4 linked regions of the Pelodiscus sinensis genome follow. The protein of the gene in region 3 interacts with the protein of the main gene of each other region in a pairwise test. Links are inferred from orthologs where the notes say so. Each region holds a gene or a part of one and is shown on either strand. Other genes may lie near its edges. The genes, in order: heat shock transcription factor, Y-linked-like; FHL3; GCM2; RBPMS.

Evidence for each region.
Region 1: the proteins of GCM2 (region 3) and heat shock transcription factor, Y-linked-like interact in binary tests that used the Homo sapiens proteins (3 or more experiments, as listed by UniProt). The two-hybrid records come from large-scale screens. The link is inferred for Pelodiscus sinensis from reciprocal best matches to the Homo sapiens genes GCM2 and HSFY1.
Region 2: the proteins of GCM2 (region 3) and FHL3 interact in binary tests that used the Homo sapiens proteins (3 or more experiments, as listed by UniProt). The link is inferred for Pelodiscus sinensis from reciprocal best matches to the Homo sapiens genes GCM2 and FHL3.
Region 4: the proteins of GCM2 (region 3) and RBPMS interact in binary tests that used the Homo sapiens proteins (3 or more experiments, as listed by UniProt). The link is inferred for Pelodiscus sinensis from reciprocal best matches to the Homo sapiens genes GCM2 and RBPMS.

Annotation. Positions count from the first base shown.
Region 1 is NC_134723.1:41,600,536-41,608,144, forward strand, and holds the start of heat shock transcription factor, Y-linked-like, read left to right. Parts: upstream 1-4,601; 5' UTR 4,602-6,007; coding exon 6,008-6,568; intron 6,569-7,502; coding exon 7,503-7,609. Other genes in the region: TMEM185A (transmembrane protein 185A), read left to right, coding at 3,103-3,347.
Region 2 is NC_134735.1:10,806,832-10,814,659, reverse strand, and holds the start of FHL3 (four and a half LIM domains protein 3), read left to right. Parts: upstream 1-4,809; 5' UTR 4,810-4,947; intron 4,948-7,828. UniProt on the Homo sapiens protein: Recruited by SOX15 to FOXK1 promoters where it acts as a transcriptional coactivator of FOXK1.
Region 3 is NC_134712.1:110,465,167-110,472,587, forward strand, and holds the start of GCM2 (chorion-specific transcription factor GCMb), read left to right. Parts: upstream 1-4,403; 5' UTR 4,404-5,972; coding exon 5,973-6,077; intron 6,078-7,421. UniProt on the Homo sapiens protein: Transcription factor that binds specific sequences on gene promoters and activate their transcription. Through the regulation of gene transcription, may play a role in parathyroid gland development.
Region 4 is NC_134715.1:5,179,120-5,186,223, reverse strand, and holds the start of RBPMS (RNA-binding protein with multiple splicing), read left to right. Parts: upstream 1-4,094; 5' UTR 4,095-4,102; coding exon 4,103-4,540; intron 4,541-7,104.

The sequences.
Region 1 (7,609 bases), on a different chromosome or scaffold from region 3:
AGCCCACTCCTCCTTTTCTCCCCCCGCCCCCCAACTACCTGCTCCAGGCCACCACCCAAACTCCCTTTCCCCTGGGTCACAACTCCCTCCCAGACCCTGCACCCTCTCTTACACCCTTTCCCTAGGCCAGAAGCCTCTGGCACCCATACCCCCTCCCTGACTCTGCATCCCCTTCCCCTGCCCTAAGTCATCACCCAAACCCTCTGCACCTCATCCCCCAGGTCACAACTCCCTTCAGACCCTGCACCACCTCTTAGGGTCCCTCCCTCAGTCCAGAATCCTCTCCTGCACCCATACTCCCTCCTGGACTCTGCACCCCAAGCCTCTGCCCAAGATCACAGTCCCTTCCTTCACTCAAACTCCCCCTCAGACTCCACACCCCCTCCTGCACTCAGTCTCCTACCCCAACCTCCCTTCTGCACCTAACCTCTGTCCCAGACTCCAGACCGCCTTGGTAGAAATGCAGCCCTTGACCACTCGATAAAATCTTGGAGTGGCCCCCCCATTAAAAATTATTGCCCACCTCTGAACTAGATAGGTGGAGATTAACACAGTGGGCATAGTCAGAAGAAGCTTTGCAGCTTATGACAGTTTTTCCTTATGAGTCACAGGCTGTGTATGTATCCCTTGTTGTGAGTGTCTTTCTGTAATCCATCTAAGTTTGATTTTGACCCCTTAGCTTCTTGGAATCACAATGTCAAAGTCCAACAGAATTAGTTCAGTCCTTAATCCTTCCACAGTAAATTGTGTTTCATATGGTTTATTTTTTATTGTGTAGAGGGTAGGGTTTTTCCCCCCTCCTGTTATGTATGCTGAAGATCCTATAGCATGTATTGTAAGCGGATGGGCTTGTCCTGATGTCCTTAGCCAATATTTTTTCTCCTTCAACCAGAACACAGAATAGCAATGTGCAGTTAGTTGTGACTTCCACTCCAAGGGTAGCTTTATTTAACGATGCAATGTGTGTAAATATTATAAAAACCGTTTGGGATCCTTTTATAGTTGAAAGAGTTTATATTATTTATTATTGTAAACTGAATTGTCTTGTTTTATGTCTCTGTAATCACAACATACACTGACTTTTTTTAAACTTGTTCTTAGATCATAAGTAATTTTTTCATATTCAGCTGCTATATGAGTTCTTGTATTGATTTGGAGGAGTTGGTATATAAATAATGGTGGTGTGAAAATATTTAATGGATTTAGCCCTATAATAAGGAATATCTTAGCTTCATATTCTTTACCAATATGTATTAAAAAGGGCCTTGTGAAGACTTGATCATGAAAGTATTGACTAATTTCTTTTCAGCTAGTATATTCTCAGTGTCTGTAGCTACTTGTTTCATCAAAGCATCTCCAGCATAGGTTTCTTCCCCAGACCTAAGATTTTTGTCTGATATGTTTACTTTAACATCAGACTTCTAACTGTGTTTCTGCTAGTTACAGTAAAACTCCATTGGTCCGGCATCTGACGGTCCGGCACTCCTGATGATCCGGCACCATCAGGAACCCGGAAGTGCTCCGCAGCCGGACCATTGGAGCTGCTCTGCCCCCAGCTTCCCCTATTCAGCCGCTGCTAAAACTGACCAGCGGCTGAATCGGGGAAGCCGGAGGCAGAGCAGCTGGGGCGCTGCCGGGTAGGTCCCCTAGCGCTGCCCCTGGGGGCTGCGGGACCAACCCGGCAGCACCCCAGGCGTCCTGATTCAGCCGCTGCTGAAATTGACCAGCAGCTGATTCCAGGAAGCCTGAGGTAGAGCTGCTCTGCCTCAGGCTTCCTGGAGTCAGCTCTTGGTCAATTTCAGCAGCGTCTGACTTGGGGACGCCTGGGGCAGAGCAGCTGGGGTGCTGCTGGGTTGGTCCCGCAGCGCCGCTCCTCGGCGCTACTGGATCAACCCAGCAGCACTCCAGCTGCTCTGCCCCAGGCATCCCCAAGTCATCTGCTGCTGAAACTGACCAGCGGGGGCTTCCTTGAGTCAGCTGCTGATCAGTATCAGCAACGTCTGACTTGGGGGGACGCCTGAGGCAGAGCAGCTGGGGTGCTACCGGGTTGATCCAGTAGCGCCGAGGAGCGGCGCTGCGGGACCAACCCAGCAGCACCCCAGCTGCTCTGCCCCAGGCGTCCCCAAGAGCAGTTGGGGTGCTGCCTGGTTGGTCTCGCTGCGCCAAGGGTCGGCGTTACCCCGACCAACCCGGCAGCACTCCAGCTGCTCTGCCCCAGGCGTCTCCGATTCAGCCGCTGCTGGTCAGTTTCAGCAGTGGCTGAATCAGGGACGCCTGGGGCAGAGCCGGACTATCGGAAGGGGGGGCTATGAGGGGTCTGGAGTGGTACCCCCCCCTCACCCCAGACCCCTCATAGCCCTCCCTTCCGATAGTCCGGCATATCTAATAATCCAGCACCCCCTGGGTCCCAAAGGTGCCGGATTATCGGAAGTTTACTGTATATAACTTTTTAAACCTGTGTGGGGTTTTTTGTTTGTTTTTTAAGTCTAGAGCCTAAATTGCCTCCTCAACTTTGTGCTTGGAAGAGTAGAGTGGTGGAACATTACAGGGCACAAGTCAGTCTTCACCTGTAGCTGTGACCACAGTGCATTTGCAGTGTAGCTGATGACAACATTAGCTTAGTGTTTAAGGCTATATGCTGTAGATCTAGTAGTGTGTTGTATAACTTTTATTTTATGAGTATGAGTTAGGTAACATAACCCCGGTCATTCCAAATGGACCCCATGTGCTTAACAAACAAATGTACTTAAATTCATTTCAGTTGGAACTTATCTAGGTGAAATATGGCAACCGGTCACCAATCTTAATATCTGTTTGACAAGGATATCATGGAATCTTTAATTGCAAGTAGTCAGGACGTTGGCTTTGTTTTATGTGAAAGATTTGCCTGTAGCAGGTAAAATACTTCTGTATGCCATGCTGTGGGATTAATTAATGGAAGGGTACTATCTACTGAGTCACTAGCACCATGTGTTAGTGTCTAACTATTTATAAACAATATTTATATAAAAGATTTTAGTATAAAAATGAAATGAGTACTTGGTTTTAAAGTGTAATTTCCTTCTTGATTAAAACTGAAACTATTAATTTGGATTTGTCCAGGGTGGTTTGGAATTCGCAAAGATTTCTGTCAATTTCTACTTGAAATTTTCCCATTCTTGAGAGAATATGGAAATATTTCCTATGATCTTCATCACGAAGATAATGAAGAAATGGAAGAAACACCTGTTCCAGAACCTCCCAAAATTGCACCAATGTTCCGAAAAAAGACTGGAGTGGTCATTACACAAAGTCCTGGAAAGTACGTTATTCCACCTCCCAAGCTAAGCATTGATGTGCCAGATTAAAACGAATTTAGAAGATGGACAACTGACAACAAAACTGGAACTAGGAATAAACAACCAAATGTATTTCATCTCAAAAAATGTTCTAATTTCTTTTAAGGATAGGTATTTGTCAGTTAGTGGCTTATAATGTATTACATTGGAGATTTTTAAATGATTTCTTTTGGAGCTTTCCATATTTACTTAATCTCATGGTAGTGAATCCAAATGGGAACACTAGTTAATCTTTTTTTTTTAAATATACCTATAAAGTCATTACCAGAGAAATTAATCCAGTATATCAATTGTAGTGCATGGGGCATTGAAAACTTTTAATATTCTGTAACATGACCTCTGGTAACTCAAATTCAGATTTTTCTACACCTCATTTAAGCATTTTAAGTATTGTGTTCCTAGTGTTATGATCTTTTGTCCCTGAAGATAGGTGGTTGTCTAATCGGTGAACCTTCCTAGTGGATTGGTTATGTGCCTGGCTGTATAGTATTTATACGAACATTGTAGCAATGTAATATATTCTGTTCAAATTCTAGTTCTGTACAGTATAAATATTATGTAAAGGTATTTTTTTAAAAACTTGTATGAAATGCATAGACTATTACAGAGGATGTCTTTCAAGTCTTAAGTATATATTTGGCCTCTCTTGCTGTATGTTGTTTAGATATATGCGTTGGCATGTCTTTACCTGTCATTTCCTATTCAGACATGAACACTATCTTTAACTACAGAGGCACAGGAGCATTGCACTTCTCTGGCAAGACTTGAAGGCTTTTGTTTTATATAGAATGTATAACAGCTTACATGATTTTGACTCAATGTAAATTATTGTGTAAATAATCACAACCGTTGCACTGACTTGTGGGTGGGGGGGTAGATGTTAACTGTGTTGCGTCTTCAAGTTCTGTAGTCATATTTTACCATTAAGCAACACATTATTAGTTATTAGCCCCTTCAGCTGTTTAATAAACTATTTTTTCCTATATTATGTGGAAAATCTATACTTTGTTTTAATTGCTCAGATTTTGTAGATTGTCATCAATTTTACAGCTGACATAAATACCAAGACTGTACTGTTGCATAAACTACCCTATCTTTTGTGAAACACAGGTCAGTCCAAATTATTAAACCCTTTACAAGGAGCTGTGCCATTTTAAATTAGTAAATTCTCTAGAAAAGTTTCTGTTTACTTTGACATTGTCATGAATTTTGGGGGGTGACGGGTGGGTTTTTTTTTCTTTCCCAAACCTCTACTGAGGATGCTTGTAGGTTAGTGAGATTAATCTGAAATTCATGTTACAGTAGTTTGTTCTCTTTGGCAAAGAGATGCTTGTGTTTGCTCTTACAACTCAGTGATAAGTATACACTCTGATATCCATCAGTACTGTTTTTCAAAAAATGGTTGATACAGGAATGACAGGAATGTGGAAACTCATCTCTTCACTATAACCACTAGCCACAGTTAGTTATGCCAGAAGTAGGGAATATATTTGTTCTGACAACTGTAATACTAGTGAGGCAAGTGCTCCCTACTGCATTGCCTTTATTCTTCCATCTACCCGTTTCTCCCCCCATCCATCCCCAGTCTCCCCGGTAATGGGCATTCAGTGGTGGAAGATAGTTCATTATAGGCCACACTGTTCCTCATCTACTGCAGCAAAATTGGGGTTTAGAGGTAGCCTCCTAATAATGCATTTATATCCCACCATCATTGTCCACTTGGACTTGAGAACATGCTCTGCTCGACCTCCTTGAGAGGCCCAGGGAGTAAAAGGCCTTCCATTTGTCCACTGGGCTACCCTACTGGAAAAGAGCAGCCGAAAAAACGCGTAGGTTGAATTCCCACATTCTCACTGGAAGGGAGAACCAATAGGAAGTCAACATCTAATAGACAATCTCCTTTCTCCCCTTCTTTCTCTCTCTTATCCCTGTGACAAGTGCTGGCAGGTGACTTGGTTTGCTCTGTAATGTTACTATCACATAGAAGATGGGCAGTGATGATCAACCTGTGGTGACTTTTTTTCAGATTCTTTCCTTCTGCCTTTTACCAGTACCTCCTTCCCCAGTCTTTGGAGCAGAAAGAGGGTTCTGCAAGAGACCAGAGGGAACAGTCTCCTTTGCAGCTGCTAAATGGAATTGTAAATTCTTATTTTTATATACAGTGTATGTAATTTAAATACTTGTACTCCTATTTTTTTTTTCATACAGCCAGGGTCTGATGGCAAGAACACAGTGTGGGGAATTCTTCACTAGTGAAAGAGGCTCAGTGGAAAGACTAGGCAAATAAATTTCTTCCTTTATTCCCAACAACCGCAGCAGTACAAGCTTCCCTCAGCTCTGTTGTGGAATGACTGCTGTGGGGAGAGGGAGGAATGGATGGTACGGTGCTCTATGTCCAGTTAGTATATGCCTTATTTACATCATGAGACAAAGCTTTTATAGATTAGATCTAATCTCTCGTAAATGATATTTAAATGCTTTTCACTTTAGTGACTTGTCTGGCCATTATTACCTCAATTTGCTAGGAAACCAGTTGTTTTATGATGTCACAGCCACACACCACAAGTATCATTATGATGTTCTAGAACTCTCTACTGAAGTTTCACTTTAAGCTAGCATCATTTTAATATACCACTGTCTAGGAGCATGAAGCTCAACTAATAGCATAAATGGCTACAACTGAAAAAGGTCAAAGCGATAAAGGATTGGAGATGGACCTTCCTATAGCAGAAACATTACATGTTTCAGCTCAGGATGAAATGGTTGATTCTGCTACCTCAATTTCTTCTGCTATTCCATTGTGTGATAAAACAGCAGCTGGTGACTCTGCCTTGAGGTCTATAATAGAAGAAAATGCTTTTCAAGCTCTGAGTGATGGACCATGGGTAAAAAGACCACGTCTTACTCTCTGTGAGGATAATTCCACTGAAGACAATGATTTTTTATCCCTCACCTTTCCAAAGAAACTATGGAAAATTGTTGAAAGTGATCAATTTAAGTCACTTTGGTGGGATGATGATGGAAATTGTGTAGTGATTGATGAAGAGCTCTTTAAAAAGGAGGTGCTAGAAAGGAGAGGCCCTCTGCGAATTTTTGAAACTGATTGCATGAAAAGTTTCATCCGTCAGCTTAATCTCTATGGCTTTAGCAAAATGCGGCAAGATTTTCAAAGGTCTGCCTCACTAGCTGAATTTCTAGCAGAAGAAAAAGCAGCATCTGCTTTTAGCAAGGTAAAATGCCAGTATAGTTTCTCAAAGCTTAAAAGATGCCTATTCTGAAATACATTTAATGAGGGTTTTTTGCATGCACAAAAGTTTTATGCTCATGAAGAGAATCTAGGAATGAGGGTTTTGAAGGCTATTCTGACATCCATAGTTCTCAAAGTATTCTCATGAATGAGTAAAAAAATGTGAATACTAGTTTTTTGCCCAGAAGTGACTATTTCAGTGTGGGTTTTTCCCTGCTCGCCTGAGCCAGTGAAACAGAAATCCTCTCAGCCCCCTTCTCTTTCTCTCTTCTGGTTACTGGTGTACTTCTGGTACTAGGTTTGCATTGCTTTCTTTTCCCACTGGCATTTGCTGAATGCTAGGAAGATGGATATGAGCCATGTGTTACTATTTGAACATTTATGGCCTTTTATCTAAATTACTAAAAGTCAAGGGGACTTGTACTTCTGGACCTAAATCTTTTACATGCTTTAGAAAGTCTCCTACTGTCGGATAATATCCATCCTTTTTGTTTAAACTTTAGTTTCGATACTAGACCCACTTAAGAGATATAATCCATTAAAATATTACCTGTCTGTATTTCTAACACCTTTTAAATTTCAAATTTACCTTTCACCATTTCTGCCATGTTTGCTTTTTGCACTTAATTTGGCTTCTACAGTGAAAGTAAGCTATTCAGGTCCATTTCCTGAGGTTAAACACAATGCTGCAGGAGAATGTTTAAATTCAAAGAATTTTCACTGATTTAAAATGTAATGAAAATACCTCTGTTTCATCATATCTTTTTTGCAGCTTAAAATTGGGGCCAAAATTGTTTGCCAGTGTCCGTTCAATATTAATGTTTGCTTTATGTAGGCAAAAATCTTAGCCAGAATGTGCACTTGACTTTTTTTTATTCTCATAGAGGTGATTAAATCTTTTCCCTTGCTTTATTTAGTTACAGTTCTACCATAACCCGAATTTTAAGAGAGGCTATCCCCACCTCCTTGTAAGATGTAAAAGAAGAGTTGGCATCAAAAATACACCACCAGTTGCTTTCTCATT
Region 2 (7,828 bases), on a different chromosome or scaffold from region 3:
GCAGGCTCCCCCCATGTGGACGTGCCACCTCAATTTAGAGCCCCAGGAAGCATTGGGAAGTAATTACTTTGAATGGCCTGGAGGAGGAGCTATTTCAAAATAGCAGCAGTGGAAAATCCACACCTATTCCAAAATAGCTATTTGGGAAGAGGCATAATTCCTCATGGAATGAGGTTTACAAATGCTGAAATAAGATACATTTGCCTCCATTATCCTAGTTCTATTGTATGTCATGTTTCAGTGTATCTAACATATCAAAATTAGCTGAACGCTTGAAAAGTTATTTCAGAATAATGGGCGTTATTCCAAAACACTGCTAGGCTGTGTCTACACTGGGCCACTTATTCTGGAAAATCAGCCACTTTTCCGGAATAAGCTGCGAGCTGTCTACACTGGCCCTTGAATTTCCGGAAAAGCAACGATGCTCTACTGTACAAAATCAGCCGCTATTCCGGAAAAACTATTCTGCTCCCGCTCGGGCATAAGTCCTTATTCCGGAACACTGTTCCGGAAAAGGGCCAGTGTAGACAGCCCAGTAGTCTACATTGGCCACAGACGCTTTTCCGGAAAAAGGGCTTTTCCAGAAAAGCAGCCTGCCAATGTAGACGCTCCTGTTCCGGAAAAACTGAAAATGGAATAGTATTCCGTTTTAAGCATTTCCGGAAATTTATGCTAGTGTAGACACAGCCCTACTGTGTAGACGTGCCCTAAGGTGCCACTGGACTATTCGTTGTTTCTAACTTACTGAGAACTTAAGTCCATTGAAAGACTTTGCTTTTATCTTATAAGACCGTTGGATCTTACAAATTGTATGGTACATTTTGTTCTTTTGATGTTAAGTGCAAGATATCCTGCCGGCAGGAATCTTCTTCATTCTGGTCTGGATTTTAAGCAAGGATCCCAGTTCTATGAGCTAGTTAGGATAGGCCCCAAAGAACACAAGATGAGTGGGCAAAAGTGGCTGGTAAGCCCCTAATATTAAAATGCTTTTGTGACACATCCTCAGAGGATGTAAATCACAATAGCTCTATTTTAAGTCAATGGAGGTATATCAGTTCAGAGCCTCCGAGGATCTGCCCATTGCATGTTAAAAAAGAAAAATCCCATATTCAAGTAAAATTCACATTGTGCAACGACCGCCTGGCCTTTATGTCATGCACAAGATGAACAAAATGCACTAATTCATTCTTTTGTCTGCGTTTACATGTCAGAAATGGGTGATAGACAAAACCTTTGGAACATAAATTAATATGCGATTGACCTAATTAATTTAGAAAAAGGTAGAAAACTAAGATTTTGTAGAAAAATCTAATTTAATTAGATTTGTACAGGGCAGCTAGCAGCAAAAGAAAACTGCTGCATATGGTTGCCAAGTCTCCTAGAAAGGACGGACAAGATACCATTTGCAGCAATGCTGTCCGGTCCACCTAAGTTGGCAGTCCTCCTGTTGTAGGTCTTTGTGAACTGACTGGTGTGCTAAGGGCTAGAAATAATAGGCAGAGGAATGACCCTTCTGAAGCAAAATCCCACAGTCTATCCAGATCTATTAGATAACCAGCAAAGCTTTTACAAGAGACCCATTTGTTCTTAGATGCTCCTGTTCACTGTAAAGGAGCTGAAGAAACAGTCTGGCCACAAAGCACTCAAGACCCACAGCAATTCAGCAAATCAAAGAGAAACACAAAGATAACTGATGCATCTGACAAAGTGGGTCTTTGCCCACAAAAGCTTATGCTCCAATACATCTGTTAGTCTATAAGGTGCCACAGGACTCCTTGTCGCTTTTGCAGATCCAGACTAACACCGCTACCCCTCTGATACTTGAAAGATAACTGAGGAACTGTAACCAAGGAGGAAGTGGCTAGATGCTTCTTGTATTTACATTGTTAAAATGATTTACAAAAATTCCCATTTTTCAACTGTGGCACTCCGTGATTCCTGGCTTGATGAGCACAAGCAGCTCCCAGCAGGTGGTGCCGCAGGGCAAGCGATAGAGGCGATGGATTGAGAAGTTTTCAAATTCCCTTTAAGGGAAAGGATTTGGTGCGGGAAAAGTTTCACAAGGCTCATTCCCTTTCCAGAAGCCACTAGCTGCTGCCAAGATTTCCCCAAAGTACAGCAGCTAGTATATCTCTCTGATGACCCTCAGAAAGAGAACACTGAGCAGAGCAGCTCCAACTGAAAACTACTGCTACTGTGACATTTTATTATATGTTGTTTGCAGGTTTGTTTCTAGCCATATTGGTCCCTGGAAATTAGAAAAACAAAGTTGGGGATGCAATATCTCTTATTGGGCCAACTTCTGCTGGTGAAAAAAGACAAGCTTTCAAGTGACACAGAGCTCTTCATATTTTCTTTGCATATAAAGTTTAAACTGAACTTAAATTAATTCCCTGGTTCATCTACCATTTTTATATCTGCCTTCCTCCCTTACACAACTCTAGGTTGAACTTTCTTCCTATTTTAAGCAAAACCATTGGGTATTAAACTGAACTGATTCCAAAACAAGCTGAGAGTTTGGGTCTTTAATCACTGTCTGTATGTAAAAACAAAACTTAAAGAATAAAAAGAGACCTTATCCATTCCTTGTCTCTTAAGGAGAGAGTGCTACTGTACAGCAGGTACACTATGTACATGTCCACTTTCTCCAGAGCTGTAAATTAAATGGACATGTTTTGTAAGGCATATTGGAAAACAAGTATGGTAAAAATTGATTACAAAAATTAAGAGTGAATGAACTCATGAATAAGGATCCTAATGTAACTTAAATTCCTCCTGTGGTCTTAGAGAGAGAGGTGGTTTTCTGGCCTATTGCAGAACTGAATTTCTCTGGAAGATAAATTGGAATATTTTCATAACTGTTTTTGTCCATGCTTTGCAAATAATTCCAGCTAAGCCTCAGCTATTACTCACCCAGGGCTATTTATGCAGTGTGGTAAGCCTATCTACTTGGCTTGGAGCAGAGACTACTTTAGGGAAATATTATCAAAGGCTGTGAAAGAACACAATATTACCAACCTCACACACAAACCATAGCCACGGGGAACACTATGAAATCCAAATGTAGCTGTTTTGAGTATCTCACAAGGAATGGCAGGGTAATCTTCCCACACACATTACTCTCTGCCTGTCCATTTCTACACTTTTACATGCTCACCTTTTGCAATGGTATCTGCAGGGTTTCATCTAAGCTCTGCTCAGCTGGTCCCCCTCAAAAAATCAAAAAGGGCAGAGGCTACCTAGCCCATTCCATATCACTAGGATGACTTCCCAAAACATGGCCAGTACACACTGGGAACTAAGACAAAGATGTGAACTGGAGGGTTGGGGGGGGGGGGGGGAGAAAACTGAGCACAATGAGATGGTAACAACTTTCATAGAATACTAGAACTAGAAGGGTCTTTGAGAGGTCATCAAGTCCAGTCCCCTGCCTTCATGGCAGGACCAAGCACCATCTAGATCATCCCTGACAGATGTTTATCCAACCTGCTCTAAAATATCTCCAGTGATGAAGATTCCATAACCTGCTTAGGCAATTTATTTCAGTATTAAACCACCCTCACAGTTAGGAAGTTTTTCCTAATGTCCAACCTAAACCTCCCCTGCTGCAGTTTAAGCCTATTGCTTCTTGTCCTATCGACAGAGGCCCAGGAGAACAATTCCTCATCCCCCTCCTCCCTGTGACACCCTTTTAGTTACCTGAAAACTACTATCATGTCCTCTCTCAGTCTTCTGTTTTCCAAACTAAACAAGCCCAATCCTTCAGGTTTGCTTCATAACTCATGTTTTCTAGACAGACCTTTAATCATTTTTGTTGCTTTTCTCTGGACCTCTCCAATGTCTCCACATCTTTGTTGAAATGTGGTGCACAGAACTGGACACAATACTCCACTTGAGACTTAATTAGCACAAAGTAGAGCAGAAGAATAGCATCTCATATTTTGCTCACAGCACTCCTGTTACTGCAGCCCAGAATCATGTTTTGTTTTTTACAGCAGCATCACACTGTTGACTCATATTTAGCTTGTGGTCCACTATGTGGCTGCCCCCTAAATCCAGAGATTCACTCACTCCTGAGCTGTGGGCAGATTCAAACCTTGGCCTACAGGTGACATGGGCTCAGCCCTAATCCCTGCAGGCCCTAGTTTACGGAGGCTGCTTAGGGTGTATTTACACTGCGCCCGGAGCTTGAAATAAGCTATGTCATTTGAGCTACGCAAATTGCACCGCTTATTTCGAGTCAATGTTGACTTAACGCTTTTTTTCTCACCGAAATTTGGCGCTGCCTACACCGCACTTATTTTGAAATAAAAGGCTCTTCCGAAACGTCCCTTATGCCTCGTGGAATGAGATTTACAGGGACGGCAGTAGAGCGAACCCGTTATATTTCGAAATAACGGGCGCGCTCAAAAGACGCGGGATAAGCTATTTCGGGATGCCCGAAAAATTGCGCTGCAGTGTAGACCGGGCCTTAGAGGAGTTCAGGAATCGGGGAGGAAAGCCGTGGGTTTGATCCAGGTCTGGAATGATCCAGGGCCAGAGGTATCTGCGCATCAGCGCCTTGTGGGCGTTATTTAGTCTGTCCCTAAGTCTGCCAGTCCTTACGGTGCTGGGGGAGAGGGTCTCCAGGGTTAGGCACGCTCTTGTGCCAGTGAATACCCCCGGGACTTTGCATGCCCAGTACCTCCCCCCCAGCCCGTTCCCTGCCTCGCTCCCCCCCAGCACCCTGCCTAGTGCCTTCCCCCAGCGCCGGCCTCGCCCCCTCCGGGCCCTGCACCCCCCTCCCAGCCACAGCAGCTCCGCCCCGCGGGCGGGGCAGGGGCCGGGCTCAGTTTCCCCCGGCGGGGCTGGGCTGGCCCCTTCCGCTGCCAGCGCCTGTCCAGCCGCGCGGCGGGTGAGGAGCAGCCAGCGAGCCCGGCTCGACTCGGCCCGGAGCGTGCGGAGCAGGTGGGGGCGCCCCTGGGGAAAGGGGTTCACCTGGGGGTGGGGAGGGGTCTTTGGGGAGACGGCCCCCCCCCAGCTGCGGAGCCCGGCCCGGGCTGGAAGTCGGGGTGTCGCCTCCCCGATGGGCAGGCTCCTTCCAGCTCCCGTGCCCAGCCGCCAGCTGTCCGGGGCAGGACGGTCCTGGTGCCACCCCACGCGCTATCCACAAGGGGCTGCTGCCCCCTTGCTGGAGCTGAGCCCTCTGCGCTCTCGTGGGAAGGTGCAGGGCACCGGGGGGTACCGCTGCCTTGTGCAGATCTGTGCCCTGATGTGCTGTCTGGGGCCATGGGCAGCAGAGGCAGCGAGCGGCAGGGTCCTGGGGGCGAGGGTTTTGGGAGCATGGGCAAGGTCTGGAAAAGTCCACTCACGCTTCTGTATCTCCCCGGAATATTCCTCATCACCCAGTGATGCTTTTGCTGTCTTGTAAACACCTCAGGAAAGGGTCCGTGCCTCCTGATGAATTGTATAGAACTAGGGGCGCTCACTGAAGATAGAGACAGTCCCCTTCCTTGCAAAATATTTGGGCCAGGAGCAAAATACAGGAGCAGGACATTGGTGTGCTAGTGCCCTTCTTCCAGCTCTGTAAATTGGGCACCGGCAACAAAAAAAGGGGAACTCCTATCTCGGTATGTGTGTCTTCACAGTGCGGGGGGTGGGGGAGTAGGCAGTCTTTCTGACTTACAGAAATGCTTCCTCTTTGTTTTGGGATGCTAGGAAGAGGCATTTTTTCTTTGTTCATCCTTTACTCTGCCTAGTGGAGTTCAAATCGCATGTAGAAGGTGGTAGGACTTGCAAAAGAATATTCACCAGTTGAAAGTAGGAAACTTTCCCTTCCCCGTATATGTGGGGGGGGGGGGGAGGAGGTGTTGGAGGGGGCTAACTCATCAGCTTCTGCAGAATCTAAATTGTCATTGTGTTAAAAAGTTCCTCCTCCTTTTAGCAGTGAAGAAAACTCTGTAAATGTGAGTCTTGTGTCAGACAGCTACAGTGTTCCATAGCTGCTGCTTTATCTTGGACTAAGCTTTTAGAGCAATTAACAAGACTCGAGACAGTTTTTCAGAACTGTGATCAAGGGTGAACTCCAGTTGGCAGTTTAAATTGGGGAAGCAGCAGGGGAGAAGGATCACAAAAACCAGGCGCTGAGGGAGGGGTAGAATATCAGAGGGCCTCTCTTCTATTACTCAGCTGCCAGAGGTGAGCAGGGAAAGATGGGGAGTTGGTTTCAAATGTATCAAATCCATAATAGCCAAATGCTGATACAAAGCACCTTGGTAAGAATCTCTGCACTCTTTTCTTTCCTAGCAGTTGGTAAAGGGAACTTAAAGCTCATCACCTGATAAACCGTCTTGTTAGTCTTTAAAGTGCTACATAGTCCTGTGTTTTGTTTCATCTCTTCCCAGGCTTTGTTTGCACTGCAGGGTTTTTGTGCAAGAAGCTTTTCGCGGAAGAGATCTTCTGCCAAAACTTCTTGCGCAAAAGTGTGTCCACACCTCAAAAGCGCATCGCAAAAGCGATGTGGTTTTGCACAAGAGAGCATCCACACTGCATGGATGCTCTTGCGCAATAAAGCTCCGATGATCAGTCACAGAATGGCCATCAGAGCGCCCGTGCTTTTTCTGATAGGCTCTTTTGGTGCAAGAAACCCCTGCAGAGCATACACATGTGCCTTTTTGTGCAAGAGCTGTAGTGCAAAAAGGAGTTCTGCCTTGAGGGGAGAGGAATAACTCTACCTTGCTTGAGGTGTGGACACTCCACCATTTTTTGCACAAAAATGGCCAGTTTTGCGCCAAAACCTTGTAGTGTAGATATAGCCCCTCTGTTTCCATACTAGCTTCTGGTTAGTACATGTCTACTTAACAACTTCAAGCTCTGTGTTTGGAGCATATTTCACAAGAGGGCTCTGAGGGTAATTTTAACTGTTGCAGAATTTCACTCACATCCATTCCAGAGCAGTGAGTGTTGGTTTATTTCCTGTTACCCACATGTTTAATGCTACTGACTCTGGTTTTGCTCTTTCAAAGTGTTTTCACGTGATTTTAAAGTTTTTTTTATTTTTATTCTTTCACATTTTTGCAAAACGGATGATTACCTGTGACACTTTCCTTCTTGGAGTTTGAATGACTTCAGGGAAATGTAACCAGGGATGAATTTGGCCCCAAATGTCTAATCCGTTAATTATAATCTGTGTTTCTATCCAAGGGTAAGTTCTCAGTTAATTATTCACTTTTTATGAATTGTAATCGTGGCACTGCCCAGCCCTAGCAGAAAAAGATTGGAAAGGAAAATCCTTTTAAGGTGAGTTCCCAGTGTAATTTTCTTAAAGAGAAAGTGTAAATTAAGGGCCAGCGGGGTCACAATGCTTTCATTTTGCAATAAAAGGAAGATGACTACAGTGTGGACATCTGGATTTGTTTTTTGAAATGTCCAAGAAGCTTTGTGGCATTTTCTGAAAGAAATATGAGAAAGGGGAGTATTGTGCCTGCTCTAGTGGAATTGTGCTGGTTAAAGTCCTGAGCCTTAAACTTCATCTTTAATGGAAACAGTCCTGAAACAAGACAACAGACTCAAAAGCTAAACGTAAACCAAATGCTTAAACTGAGTTACTTTGAGAAAGTGTTTGTAGGAGAGGAGGGGGTGGTATTTTGCACGCATCCAGATGGCTCAGTGAAATCAAGACGCTTTGGCTTGCCTAAGACTGGTTATTTTGAGGCCTCAGTTATTTGGCTTTCTAAAATTCACCTGGCCGTTTCTTTTAAACAAAGACAACAGAGAGTTTGCCGCTTTAAGCAACAGATCAGTATCTATTCAAAACATTGTTTTAATAAAAAACATTTAATGACCCCTA
Region 3 (7,421 bases):
CAAAAAAAAATCCCGTAGCGGAACTACAGGCTTGGCTCTTAGTCTCACAGTCGTCCCCCCCATGTGGTAAAGGAAACTGGTCCCAGAGATGGGCTTTCTTCCCCCACCACTGAGCTCCTAGCTGGCTACCGCAGCCCACCGCCTCTCACCATAGAAAAAACTAGGCAGAGAAACGGCAGCAACCTCCCAGGCTGCCAAGTAGCAAAACGCCCCCGCAGGGCGGCCCTTGCAAAGAGCAGCTGTCCGGCTGGGGCGCGTGTGCGCTTCCTGCAGCTTGGCCACTACGCCCTTGCCGCGTGCAGTGGTCAGCACTCCGGCCGGAAGCGGTGCCGCGTTCTCCTCTCCTTGCCCTCTCCCCTAGGAGACGCCGAGTCCCACCTCGCCCGCGCAGGAGGCGCTCGGGGCAGAGGCGCCGCTTGGCCGTTCGAGGTCGGGATGCGCCGCGCGCCTCAGGGGCCCGAAGGGGGCGGCCCCGACACCAGCGGCCTGGAGCGCAGCAGTGAGTGGGGGCGGGGGGACATGGGGCTTGGGAGCATGCCGGGGGCAGGGATTGGCTGGCTGGCTAGAGGTAGCAGGGTCCGGCTTGTCACCTCCAGCTGGACTTCTAGTTCTTTTCCCGGGGGAGATGCGTTGTGGAGGAGACATGAATGGAAAAGGGAAATAAGAACAACCCGGAAAACTACAGAGCGGTCAGTTTAACTTTTGTAAAATACAGGACTATGTAGCACTTTAAAGACTAACAAGATGGTTTATTAGAGGATGAGCTTTCGTGGGCCAGACCCACTTCCTCAGATCAAATAGTGGAAGAAAATAGTCACAACCATATATACCAAAGGATATATGGTTGTGACTATTTTCTTCCACTATTTGATCTGAGGAAGTGGGTCTGGCCCACGAAAGCTCATCCTCTAATAAACCATCTTGTTAGTCTTTAAAGTGCTACATTGTCCTGCATTTTGCTTCAGCTACCCCAGACTAACACGGCTACATTTCTATCATTATTTAACTTTTGTGCCAGGGAAGATACTGGAGGCGGTAATGAAGGAATTCATCTGCAAACACCTGGAAGATAATAAGATGATAGGGAACCGCCAGCATGGATTTGTAAAGAACAAAGCAGGTCAAACCACTCTGATAGCTTTCTGTGGTAGGCTACCAAGCCTTGTGGATAAGGGAGAAGTGGGTGGAGGTGGTATACCTGGACTTTAGCAAAGCAATTGATACAGTTTTGCATGATCTTATTATCAATAAACTAGGGAAATACAACCTATTTAGGGCATAACTGGCTGGCTAACTGTTGTCAGAGAGTCATTATTAATGGTGATAGAGATGTAGCCGTGTTAGTCTGGGGTAGCTGAAGCAAAATGCAGGACAATGTAGCACTTTAAAGACTAACAAGATGGTTTATTAGATGATGAGCTTTCATGGGCCAGACCCACTTCCTCAGATCAAATAGTGGAAGAAAATAGTCATAACCAAAGCTCATCACCTAATAAACCATCTTGTTAGTCTTTAAAGTGCTACATTGTCCTGCATTTTGCTTCATTATTAATGGTTCACAGTTCCGCTGGAAGGGCGTAACAAGCAGTGTTCTGCAGCAGTCTGTTTTGGGACCGGTTCTGTTCAATATCTTCATTGACAATTTGGACGCTGGCATAGAGTGTACACTTATTAAGTTCGCAGATGATACCAACCTGAGAGGGGTTGCAACTGCTTTGGAGGATAGGATCATGTTCAAAATGATCTAGACAAACCAGAGAAATGTTCTGAGGTACATAACATGAAGTTTAATAAGGACAAATGCAAAGTACTCCACTTAGGAAGGAACAATCCGTTCCATACATACAGAATGAGAAGCAACTGTCTAGGAAGGAATACTGCAGAAAGGGATCTAGGGGTCAAAGTGGACTGTAAGCTAAATATGAGTCAACGGTGTGACACTGTTGCAAAAAAAGCAAACATGATTCTGGGATGCATTAACAGGAGTGTTGTGAGCAAGACACAAGAAGTCATTCTTCCGCTCTATTCTGCACTGATTAGGCCTCAGTTGGAGTGTTGTGACCAGTTCTTGGCACCACATTTAAAAAAAGACGTGGAGAAATTGGAGAAGGTCTAGAGACGAGCAACAAAAATGATTAAAGGTCTATTAAATATGAGCTATGAGGAAAGACTGAAAGAATTGGGCTTGTTTAGTTTGGATAAGAGTAGACTGAGAAGGGGATATGATAGCAGTTTTCAAGTATCTTAAAAGGCTGTCACGAGGAGGGAGAAAAAAATGTTCTCCTTGACCTCTGATGTTAGGACAAGAAGCAATGGGCTTAAACTGCAACAAGGGAGGTTTAGGTTGGGCATTAGGAAAAACTTCTTGTCAGTGCAATTAAACACTGGAATAAATTGCATAAGGAAGTTGTGGGATTTACATCACTGGAGATATTTAAGAGCAGGTTAGATAGATATCTGTCAGGGATGAGATGGTGCTTGGTCTTGCCATGGGGGTAGGGAACTGGACTTGATGACCTCTCAAGGTCCCTTTCAGTTCTAGTATTCTGTGATTCTAAGACTACTGGTTGTTACTTATCACTGGGAGCCTCATGCTCTTTGGCTTTGCACATATGTGTAATGCCTGAAGAGGTCTTTTTAGATCATAATGATCATGACATTAGCAATTATTTTATTATTTCAAATGATAGGTTAGTGATCTGACTTTCTTTAATACATCCTAATTGTGTCAAGTGATCTATAGTGCACAATAAAGGTTCTGTCCTGTACCTATTGAAATCAATGGCAAAACTCCAAGGCTACTTCTACACTGGCATGATTTTCCGAAAATGCTTTTTTCCGAAAATGCTTTTAAAAGTTTTCTGTTAAAAGCATTTTCAGAAAAGCACGTCTAGATTGGCAGGGTGCTTTTCCGCAAAAGCACTTTTTGCGGAAAAGCGTCCGTGGCCAATCTAGACGTGGTTTTCCGCAAAAAAAAAAAAAGCCCCGATCGCCTTTTTCGCGATTGGGACTTTTTTGCGGAAAACAGTACTATGCTGTCTACACTGGCCTTTTTGCGCAAAAGTCTTTCGGAAAAAGACTTTTGCCCGAACAGGAGCAGCATAGTTTTTCTGGAAAAGCACTGATGATTTTACATGAGATCGTCAGTGCTTTTCCGGAAATTCAAGCGGCCAGTGTAGACAGCTGGCAAGTTTTTCCGCAAAAGCAGATGATTTTGCGGAAAAACTTGCCAGTCTAGACACAGCCCCATTGATTTCAGTGGTGTTGGATTAGGCCTTTAATACTGTTCATGCTTGTATTTTCAGGAAGCTCCTCTAAACAAATGAGGATACAAGTAGCAGCTTGTGTAATTTTGTGTCTTGGAACCGCTGCAGAGATGAGCAGCAACCCTGTTCCTGTAGTGGGAACTTCTGCGTAGCTGCAAAGCAGTCACATAGCGGAAAAGGCAGATTCCCATTGGTTTCTATTAGAAATTTGCCTGAGGGACAGTGGCCGGATGAGTTGGCTCTGCTAATAGGAAGATACTGACATTAGCAGAGCCTTAGTTCTTCTACAAACTTTGTAGCTGCAGCAGGATACAATGATTCGCTGTACCATGGGGAAAAGAAAAGGATTATATTTAATTGTGAACATATCAGCTTGCAAACAAGGAATACATTGTCAAACCAGGCTTTTTAGCTGATCCGTGTTCTCCAAATAGGGCCTTTGGTAGCATTCCTCTGGGTTCCCTCCTATGTGAGGAGAAATGAGTATGTTTCACCTGCATCCATGGTTCTCTAATGTTCATTCAGAGGTTTGACTAGGTGGAATGTAGGATAAATAGATTTGTAATGTAGGTTCCAGCCAGATGTGTGATTCGCAGTCAGAACTTCTGAAATAACAGACTGAATCAGTTTCACACCAAGATAGAGGTGCACAGTAGCTACTTCACAAACTCCCAAGGAAAGGCAGTAGAACTATTCCTTGTACTGCCAAACTTCAAATAACTACAATGAAACAGTGTTTTTAGTTGCTGCTTAGTGTGATAGCAGCAGCTCCAGAGGAGACTGACCCCTGCCATTGCTTGAAGTACCTTCAAACTGGAAGGGTTGGAGGATCACAGATGCATCATGCCTAGGGATGTTACACTTTGATTAATTGACTAATCCAACAGTCGATGCAATTTGCATCAACTATTCGATTAGTCAATAAGGGTGCCTCTGCCTTTGAAGTGTAGCAATAGTCCCAGGCTGTTACTATACTTCAAAGCGAAAGTGCTGCAGGGAGCATGGGGCCAGCGGGGGACTCAAGCAGTAACCCACTGGCCCCGTGCTCTCCATGGTGTTTCAAAGCAGCAGTGTCGCATGAAGTCCCCAGCTGACCCCGGTCTCCACGTGGCGCTGCCACTTTAAATCTGGCCCTTGACTGCATGTGGCATTTCAAAGCAGCAGTACCATGTGGAGGCCAGGGTCTGGCCCTGGGCTCTACGCAGCATTGCTGCTTTGAAGCAACCCTTCCTCTTCCCCCTGCCTTTTGCTGCCTCTTTCTGATAGAGGCAGCAAGGGAGGAGGGGGAGGAGTGACTAGTCATTCACATCCCTAATCGTGCCCTCCTGAAATTACTGAGCTGGTAAAAATTGGGCAGTTTTTGCTACAAGATCAGCAAAATGCAGCACTATAGAGTTTACACATATGTAAACTCGTGCATTTTAGAGACATTCCAGAATGTGGGTATTTTAAAAAGTCCTCCTCCCCTCTCCCCAACCTCCCGACAAGCATCACATTAGGAACCAGTGTGTACTAGAAAGTAAAATATACTGAACATATTCTTACCAGACAGGCAAAACTTCGGATGCCTGCCATTTGCCTCTCTCAGAACTGGAGGCCCAATGAATAAAGGCTTGCTATAAAGCCAAGAGCCAAGCCATGTTCTTGGTTATTTATTATAGCCATGGCCTCCTTATTAGTCCTAATATCGCATTTCTGTGAGTTAGGTTTTTAGAAATCTATCAGAAAGAGGCAGCAAAGGGCGGGGGGAAGAGGAAGGGTTTAGTATGTGTGTGCAGGTGAGGGGGTATGAACATGTCATTCAGTAGCAATCTACTAGCTGTCAACTTTTAGAACAGTCTGGGAGTCATTCTGCATTACTGATCTGAGGAAAAAACTTCCACTAATGCATGTGAAAGGCCCTGTCAGATTTGAGGATTGTGCCGGGACATGTGCTGTTAGTCTTGTCCTGAGCCTTGTGTCAAAACCAAATAGATAGAAAACAAAATACTTGTGTAAGTAGTTTCGTGTTTTCATCCTGCCACACTCCCAGGTTCCCTAGTGCCAGATCCAAAGCTTAAGATGGTAGTGACTGGCTTCCCTTGGCATAAGTGAATGTTGCAGACAGTTATACAAATGCCCTGGGTGTGACTACCTTGTGGAAGCAGTCCTGCGGCCCTAGCAGTGGAGATGATTGCGCTCCTGGCTAAACACAAGACGGTTTCAATTTAAAAGCAAAGTGGCAGACTGTGAGGCTTGAGGCTGGGTTTGCAGTACTGTAGTACTCCTGCTGCTCCCCTTTGGCCCTTGGCGGCTGGCTCTCATGGTCCAGGACCTTGAGGTCTTCGCGTCTCAGATTCCCAAACTTTTCCTTCATGCTTAGTGACTGGTGGGGAGGAGTCAGCCTTGAAATAAAACACCTCTTCCCCCTCCCCTTGTGTTTAGTACAAGCCAGGCACACGGGAGGGAGATGACAGGCCAAGCAGGAGCCCTGTGTCACATACACGCATAAAAGCAGGAATCAAAGTGTGCAGCGGTCATGAGCTGCCACCTCCTTTCAGCACCGCAGTCCCTGGACAGGGCAAAGTGCAGGGTTGTGCTGTAACAGGCAGCTCAACTCAGACAAGCAGTGGCTGCCTTGCGCTCTGCTGCTCTGGGGCAATTCCGTCTCGGCCCTCCTCGCGTGTTCACACTGCTGCTGTGCAGGGTCCCTGCTGCCAACCTTGGATGACCATGTCCAAGGGTCCGCTGGAGCTCCTCGGAGCTTCGGACTGCATGTGCTCCTACGGGATGAAGCTCACCTGGGACATCAATGACCCTACACTGCCGCAGGTAGGAGGGAGAGGAGGGGGATGGCGCTTTGATTTGAGGAAGCATGGTTTTAATTGCTTGCAGCAGTGCTCTCTGCCTGGCTCCAGCCAGCCCAGAACGAGGAGTCAGACTGGGACCATTCCCAGAACCTCACCTAAACAGCTGCACTTTGTGCACACAGAATTCAAGCACTTGTTTAAATTGAACAGGCTTCAGAACTGGATGGTCCTGGCTGTCCTGGGGCATTTATGAATCCTGTGTCTGGGAGACATCAATTCTGGACTAAAGGTTTTAATAAAGCTGGTTTAAAGCCCAGAGTTTACCTATTGTCAAATTATATGGGTGAGGCTAAGGGAACATGGGGAATGGGCATGTAGACAGCCTGCAATCAGAAATTGTAAAGGAAAGACGCCAAAATTGTTCTTCTGTGAGGTTCCTTTGCTCATTGGTTTTAGTTTTTGTGGCTTCTGGAATTTGTTTGAAAAAAAGACAAGATCTCAGAGATCTGATCGCTGTATTTTAATTCAGTGACAATAAGAAATTATACCTGACTGGTCTCTTTTAAAAGTGATAAACTGTGTATGTTTGGGTTGTTTTATACTGGACAATATCATTTTATATCTGTCTATCAGGCTACTTAAAAACTGAAAAGATATGGTGGAATAATATCTTTTATTGGACCAAAGAGATATGATTTTCAGCTGGACATAGCTGAGAGAGGTATTCAGAAGTACCACACCTGAATGCAAGGCAAAATGTTAAACATGGGGATATACAGTGGTGATTTGTTGAGCAGGATAGTAGACCTCAAAGTCATATTTTAATCCTTCTTTATAATAATATTTGGATGCTTCCATATATATTTAAGTGCTTAGAAAACACTTATGAGTGCCATCAACAGCCCTCCCCCTAAATAATTTTAAAATTAGCTATTACTGTAAGTCCAATGGGGAAATCACTCTCAAAAGTTTCCAGACAAATGTTAAAACAGAAGCGAAGTTTCAGTATCCTTTTCCTATCTAGCTATGAAGAAGGGGAAACTGATCTCAACCTCTCTGAAATCTGTGTTTGACCCACACACATCCTGTGATTGTGACCCCAAGTATGAAAGCTCATGCAATAGAAGATAAAGCTGGAAGAAGAGATTCCTTGATTTTATATACCCAATGTCTCTTTAGCTTCAGTACTTTCAATCTTTTATTGGATTCTATAGAATATAAAGTAGACTTTGTAATAGAATTCAAAACCAAAAGATTTGGAGAATGTTTCCTGCTGTGGAAGAATTCAGTAGTATGGAACATTAGGTGCCTGATATTGCAATAGGTTACTCACACCAAGGGTATGTTTACACATCAAAGATAAATA
Region 4 (7,104 bases), on a different chromosome or scaffold from region 3:
TAAGAAGAAGGCAGCCAGGGGACCATAGGACGCTACGGCTTGAAAGTTAGTGAAAGAGCCCAGAGACAAGGTGAAGCCGACCCTTTCGCTGAACGTACAGTATGGAAGAAGCCAGTGGTACAGCCTCTGCCCATGCAGACACAGCCCTCCCCCCTGCCCCTTGTGATCCATAGAGCCCCAGGCGTCCTGCACTCCTGCCAGGTGGTCCGTGCGGCTCGGGGAACACTGGACAGCAGAGGCATCCTGCCCAGCCAGTGAACAGGGCAGGAGCAGCTCTCTGCAATTCACTAGGGGTCCTTTCAGCCAGAGCACTCACAATCCGCCCATTCATCCCCCCTCCCGCCAGCACAGGGAAGTAAGAGACACACCTCGCGTCTCCTGCTCTGCCCCACTGCAGCTGCTTAACCCTTCTATGCCTGTGGGGTAGCCACTCCGAGCCGCAGCAGGCCTGTCCTCAGGACTTGTGGGGCCCTACGCCCCAAAGCAGCGGGGGGGGGGGAGAACTTTTAGAGCTGTGAATTTTATACACTTCAGCAACACCCGAATGAAAGTAAATTCAGAACCTGACAGTATATACCTGGAGTTGACAAATGCCTGTTCAGTTACTTCATTCTCCCTTGAATGGCTCTTTCACAGTTTCAATGTCTGTTAACTGCGCTGGCTTTTTCATTTTTACGTTAACTAGATCCTCTCCGGAAGAAGCGGAGTCACAGAACAGCGCTAAGAAGAGGCAGGTGGGTGGATATTAAGACCCACTGGTGCCCCACATTTTTGGGGGCCCTACGCAGCTGCATATTCTGCATATGGGTAAGGCTAGCCCTGAGTCAAGCATATCATTCATAACAGTCCTACACACACGACCCCCCTCCCAATCAGCATACTGCCATGTGCTTGGGCCTGAGATTGCATTAGGCCTGGAGAAATATTTTGTATGGGATGCGAATTGTCTTTCGTCCATTTGTGCAGAGGTGCAATAAGAGAGGTAGCCCCAGAAGCGTGTGCACACAATGTGAGAGAGAAGAGCACAAGAGCATAAGAACGGCCACGCTGAGTCAGATCAAAGGTCCATCCAACCCAGTGCCTGTTTTCCAACCGTGGCCAATACCAGATGCCCCAGAGCGAGGGAACACACCAGGGAATCCTCAAGTGACCCCTTTCCTGTCAGCCATTTCCGGCCTCTGACAAACAGACGCCATCCCTGCCCATCCTGGCTAATAGCCATTGGTGGACCTAACCTCCATGAATTTAATCTAGCTCTTTTTTGAACCCTGTTAGGCTACATCTACACAGCAAAGCTATTTCGGTAGTATCCCGAAATAGCTAATCTGTGTCTTTTGAGCGCGCCAATTATTTTGAAATATAATGGGCTCGCTATTCTGATATCCCTGTAAACCTCGTTCCACAAGGGTTAAGGGATGTTTTGGAATAGTACCTTATTTCCAAAGTTCAAAATAAGCTATTTTGAAATTACCTCGAAATAAGCTACACAATTAGCGCAAATTGCGTAGCTTATTTCAAGGTAAGGGTGCAGCGGAGATGCACCCTTAGGATATGTCTAGACTACATTGCTCTGTCGACGGAGCCATGTAGATGAGTTTACTAGACATAGGAAAATGAAGCGGCGATTTAAATAATCACTGCTTCATTTACATCAAAATGGCCGCCGCGCTGTGCCAATCAGCTTTTTGATGGCACAGCGGGGCAGTCTGGATGCACTGCGGTCGATGTGGGAAGCCTTTGTTGACCACCCCGGTATGCCTCATGAAATGAGGTTTACCGGAGCGGTTGACAAAGGCTTCCCTCATCGACCGCGGCACGTCCAGACTGCCCCGCTGTGCCGCCAAACAGTTGATCGGCACAGCATGGTGGCCATTTTGATGTAAATGCAGCAGTGATTATTTAAATCGCCGCTTCATTTTCCTATGTCTAGTAAACTCATCTACATGGCTCTGTCAATGGAGACATGTAGTCTAGACATACCCTTAAATTCCTGGTCTTCACAACATCCTCTGGCAAGGAGTTTCACAGGTTGACTGTGCACTTCATGAAGAAAAACTTCCTTTTGTTTGTTTTAAAACGGCTTCCCATTAATTTCATTTGGTGACCCCTAGTTCTTATGTTATGGGAACAAGTAAAAAACTTTTCCTTATTTACTTTCTCCATACCTGTCATGATTTTCTATACCTCTATCATCCTCCCCACCTTAATCTCCTCTTCCCTAAGATGAAAAGTCCCAGTCTTTTTAATCTCTTTTCATATGGGATCTGTTCCAAACCCCTCATCATTTTTTTTGCCCTTTTCTGAACTTTTCCAGTGCCAAGATATCCTTTTTGAGATGTGGTGACCACATCTGTATGCAGTATTCAAGATAAAGCAGAGTAGTGTGTTTTTGGGGCCCAGGGCAGGTCACCCCCAACAGTCACCTCTAAGGGAACAAAGCAACACCCACAGGTCGGGGAAGATGCTTCATTTTGGACCCTCCTTCAAGCATCCCCTGGCGCATGGAGACAGACAGCCTGTGCTGCCCTGTGTATCTGCCGTGCTGGCCAAGTTCTGTAAGTGCCACCAGTGTACCAAGGAAGCTGGGTGCTGGGAAGGGGTCTGGGAGGGTGGATAGGTACCCCTCTAGGGAAAGAGGCATATGTTGTATGCTGGGGGGGAGCCCACGGGCCCATTTGTCACCCTTGTCTGTCCCCACCCCAGTGCTGGGACTGTGCTGTGTGACATCTCTCTCTTCTGCAGGGGCCGGCTGAGTTTCAATGAGGTGCCTCTTTCGGCCTTGACAATTGAGGGACTCTCTCCATTGCCCCCGGTGTCAGGGCACTGGAGTGCGGGGGGACTGTCCAGTCTCTCCTCTGCCCTGCTTCCGGCACAGCCACTCTGGTCCGAGCTCAGACTGCCAGCGTTGAAACCAACTGACAGTGTCTTACAGGGACTGTCCTATTGCAACCTGGTCCCTGCCAGCTCTTTCCAGAGCTCCTTGCTGGAGCTGCACACCCGGGCACACCTGCTTACTGTCACCTCTGGACTGCACTCAATGGGCTGAGCTGAGACCAAGGGGGGTTGCGAATCAGTGTTTCCTGAAAGCAATCCAGGAGACATTCAGGTGCAGCCCAGCTCATTAGCAGAGATCTCACAGCAAGTGTTTCTACTGATGGGTGCACAGCTGCTCGTGACGTGGTGCACATAACATTTATTCTGCACAGGTATGGAAAAAGAGGGAACATTGGTAAGGGGGAAGTAATATGTGAATGTGGGGGGCTATGGCTAGATCTTGCAATGGGATCTGTGGAGGCATAGCCTGTTGTCAGGGGAGTGCCCAGCCTTCAGTGGGGCTCAGTGTAGATCCAGCATAGCCCAGGACTGCACCAGTGCTCTCCTGCTCAGGATGCAAGAGGAGAAACTCAGAACAAGTGCAAAGTTGGTTCAATGTAAAGTTGCTCCTTATAATGTGATCCTGTGATTTTCAAAGTACACGTTGCAGCCCAGCGCTGGGTCGTGGGATGCCAGGCACTGGGGTGCCGTGCTGTAGGGTGGCCAGTGAGGGTGCTGAGGCAGGCCCCCTGTCTGTCCTGGCACCAGAAACTGTACTGGGCCCTCGGAAGCGGCCAGCAGAAGGTTTAACTCCTAGGCCAGGTGGCCATGGGACTCCATGTACTGTCCCCACCCCGGGCACCAGATCTGCAGTCTCATTGGCTGTTTCCTGACCAATGGCAGCTGGGGAGGCCCTCACACCTGAGCCCCCACACACCTGAGCAACCCTCACTGATGGGGGGCTCACTCAGAAGGAGACAGACAGTCCCCACGTTCTCCTTGGGCAGAGTCTAGGGGGCCCTGGCCTGGTAGATTTTGTGCGCTCAAGCCCCATGGTGGGGCGGCAGGGACTCCCTGATGGGGGGGGGAGCCCTGAGCCTCAGGGGCTGCATCCGGCCCACGGGCCTGAGGTTCCCCACCTCTGCTCTAGCGAGTGGGGCACCTCGATGTGCAACATTGGCGGCGGGTGCCTGGTGCCTTAGAACAGTACATGGGGGGGAGGTGCCAGGGCCCCAGGGGGCGAGGCCCATTGGCGGCTGGTGCCCAAGGGAGCAGGGTTAGGGGCTGAATGAGTGGCCACAACAGCAGAACCCTCCACCCCCCGGCGGTGAGGCTGCCCTCGGGGCTGCGCCATTGTGACTGGCAGCCCACGAGGGAGCGGGCCCCGGGCGCGCAGGGCCCCACACCCGGCCCCGCCCCGTCCCCACGCCAGGGGGCCGGGAGGCGCTGGCCTCGGAGCGCGCAAGGCGCACGGCCCCCGGACTCCTGCCCCAGCGGCGGCCGCGCTGGCTGCCCCCGCCCCCGCGCCGCTGCTCCCTGCCGGGCCGGGCCGGGCTGGGCCGCCGGGGGCTCAGAGCAGCGCCGCCCGCCCCGCCTGGATGCTGCTGCCAGCGGCAGGGACCAGCCTCTCCGCAGCCGGCTCCGCGCGCCCCGGGACGGCAGCATGAACAGCCTCCCCGCCGACAAGGACAGCGGCCCGGCCGAGCCCAGCCTGCCCGAGGACGAGGTGCGGGACGGGGCCCCGGGGGAGCGGGGCACAGGGTCTGGGGGGGCGGGCGGGCAGTGTGGCTACTGGGGGGAGCGGGGCAGGAGGTGCGGGGGCCGGGGAGCGGGACGGGGTGTGTGGGGAGGCTAGAGGGGAGCGGGGTAGGGGGGCCGGGCGGGGCGTCGAGGGGAGCGGGGCTGGGGCGCAGGGGGAGCGGTGTGGGGGGCTGGGGTGCAGGGGGAGCGGTGTGGGGGGCTGGGGTGCAGGGGGAGCGGTGTGGGGGGCTGGGGCGCAGGGGGAGCGGTGTGGGGGGCTGGGGCGCAGGGGGAGCGGTGTGGGGGGCTGGGGTGCAGGGGGAGCGGTGTGGGGGGCTGGGGCTGGGGGGAGCGGTGTAGGGGGGCCGGGCGGGGGGAGCGGTGTAGGGGCCGGATCCCGGAGGGGAGCGGGGCTGGGGCGCAGGGGGAGCGGTGTAGGGGGGCCGGGCGGGGAGGGGAGCGGTGTGGGGGGCCGGGCGGGGAGGGGAGCGGTGTAGGGGGGCCGGGCGGGGGGAGCGGTGTAGGGGCCGGATCCCGGAGGGGAGCGGGGCTGGGGAGTAGCTAGGAGGCTCCGGAGGTGCCCGCGGTCTGTCCCGGGCGCTCCGGCCGCCCCGCCGGGCTCACTCAGGTGTTTGCTCCGCTCCGGCCGGGCCCCGCCTTCGCCCGCTGCGGGGACGGCGCCCGGGCCGCGGAGCGCCACCTCCGGGGCCGCGCCTTCCCGCTGCCCCCCGCCGCGCAGGGCGGCTCGGCCGGCGGGACTCGTGGTGCCCTGGAGCGCTCAGCTCCCGTGGCCCCGCGCCGCTCGGCTCCAGCTAGAGCCCCCAGCCAGCGTGTGCGGGCTGAGTCCCCCTGCGCGCTGCTGGGGCTGTGTGCCTGGCTGGCACTGCCCTGCCCCGGGCGCTCTGGGGCTGTGTGCCTGGCTGGCACTGCCCTGCCCCGGGCGCTCTGGGGCTGTGTGCCTGGCTGGCACTGCCCTGCCCCGGGCGCTCTGGGGCTGTGTGCCTGGCTGGCACTGCCCTGCCCCGGGCGCTCTGGGGCTGTGTGCCTGGCTGGCACTGCCCTGCCCCGGGCGCTCTGGGGCTGTGTGCCTGGCTGGCACTGCCCTGCCCCGGGCGCTCTGGGGCTGTGTGCCTGGCTGGCACCGTCCTGCCCTGCCCCGGGCGCTCTGGGGCTGTGTGCCTGGCTGGCACTGCCCTGCCCCGGGCGCTCTGGGGCTGTGTGCCTGGCTGGCACTGCCCTGCCCCGGGCGCTCTGGGGCTGTGTGCCTGACTGGCACTGCCTGCCCTGCCCCGGGCGCTCTGGGGCTGTGTGCCTGGCTGGCACTGCCTGCCCTGCCCCGGGCGCTCTGGGGCTGTGTGCCTGGCTGGCACTGCCCGCCCTGCCCCGGGCGCTCTGGGGCTGTGTGCCTGACTGGCACTGCCTGCCCTGCCCCGGGCGCTCTGGGGCTGTGTGCCTGGCTGGCACTGCCTGCCCTGCCCCGGGCGCTCTGGGGCTGTGTGCCTGGCTGGCACTGCCCTGCCCCGGGCGCTCTGGGGCTGTGTGCCTGGCTGGCACTGCCCTGCCCCGGGCGCTCTGGGGCTGTGTGCCTGGCTGGCACTGCCCTGCCCCGGGCGCTCTGGGGCTGTGTGCCTGGCTGGCACTGCCCTGCCCCGGGCGCTCTGGGGCTGTGTGCCTGACTGGCACTGCCTGCCCTGCCCCGGGCGCTCTGGGGCTGTGTGCCTGGCTGGCACTGCCCGCCCTGCCCCGGGCGCTCTGGGGCTGTGTGCCTGGCTGGCACTGCCCTGTCCCGGGCGCTCTGGGGCTGTGTGCCTGGCTGGCACTGCCCGCCCTGCCCCGGGCGCTCTGGGGCTGTGTGCCTGGCTGGCACTGCCCGCCCTGCCCCGGGCGCTCTGGGGCTGTGTGCCTGGCTGGCACTGCCCTGCCCCGGGCGCTCTGGGGCTGTGTGCCTGGCTGGCACTGCCCTGCCCCGGGCGCTCTGGGGCTGTGTGCCTGGCTGGCACTGCCCTGCCCCGGGCGCTCTGGGGCTGTGTGCCTGGCTGGCACCGCCCGCCCTGCCCCGGGCGCTCTGGGGCTGTGTGCCTGGCTGGCACTGCCCGCCCTGCCCCGGGCGCTCTGGGGCTGTGTGCCTGGCTGGCACTGCCCTGCCCCGGGCGCTCTGGGGCTGTGTGCCTGGCTGGCACTGCCCTGCCCCGGGCGCTCTGGGGCTGTGTGCCTGGCTGGCACTGCCTGCCCTGCCCGGCTGGGGGATCCCAGGACAGCACCCAGACAGCAGCAGTGCAGGGGAGTGCCATACGCCCGTTCCAGGAAGCACTGCATGGCAGGGTGAGCAGGGGAGAGGCCCATGCTGTTGTGCGTTGCCAGGGCAGTGCGGTTACATAGGGTCTCCATGCAGTGGAGTGCAGAGGCAGGCACGCCCGGGAGGCGAGGCCTCTCTCAAAGCACACCCCGCACCTACTGCCTGGCCGCATTTCAGGAGGGTTGGTAACTCTGCTTAATTCCTCTCAGTGTGTTTCTGGGGCCAGCCAGGTCAGGCTCACCAGCCCCACCTCA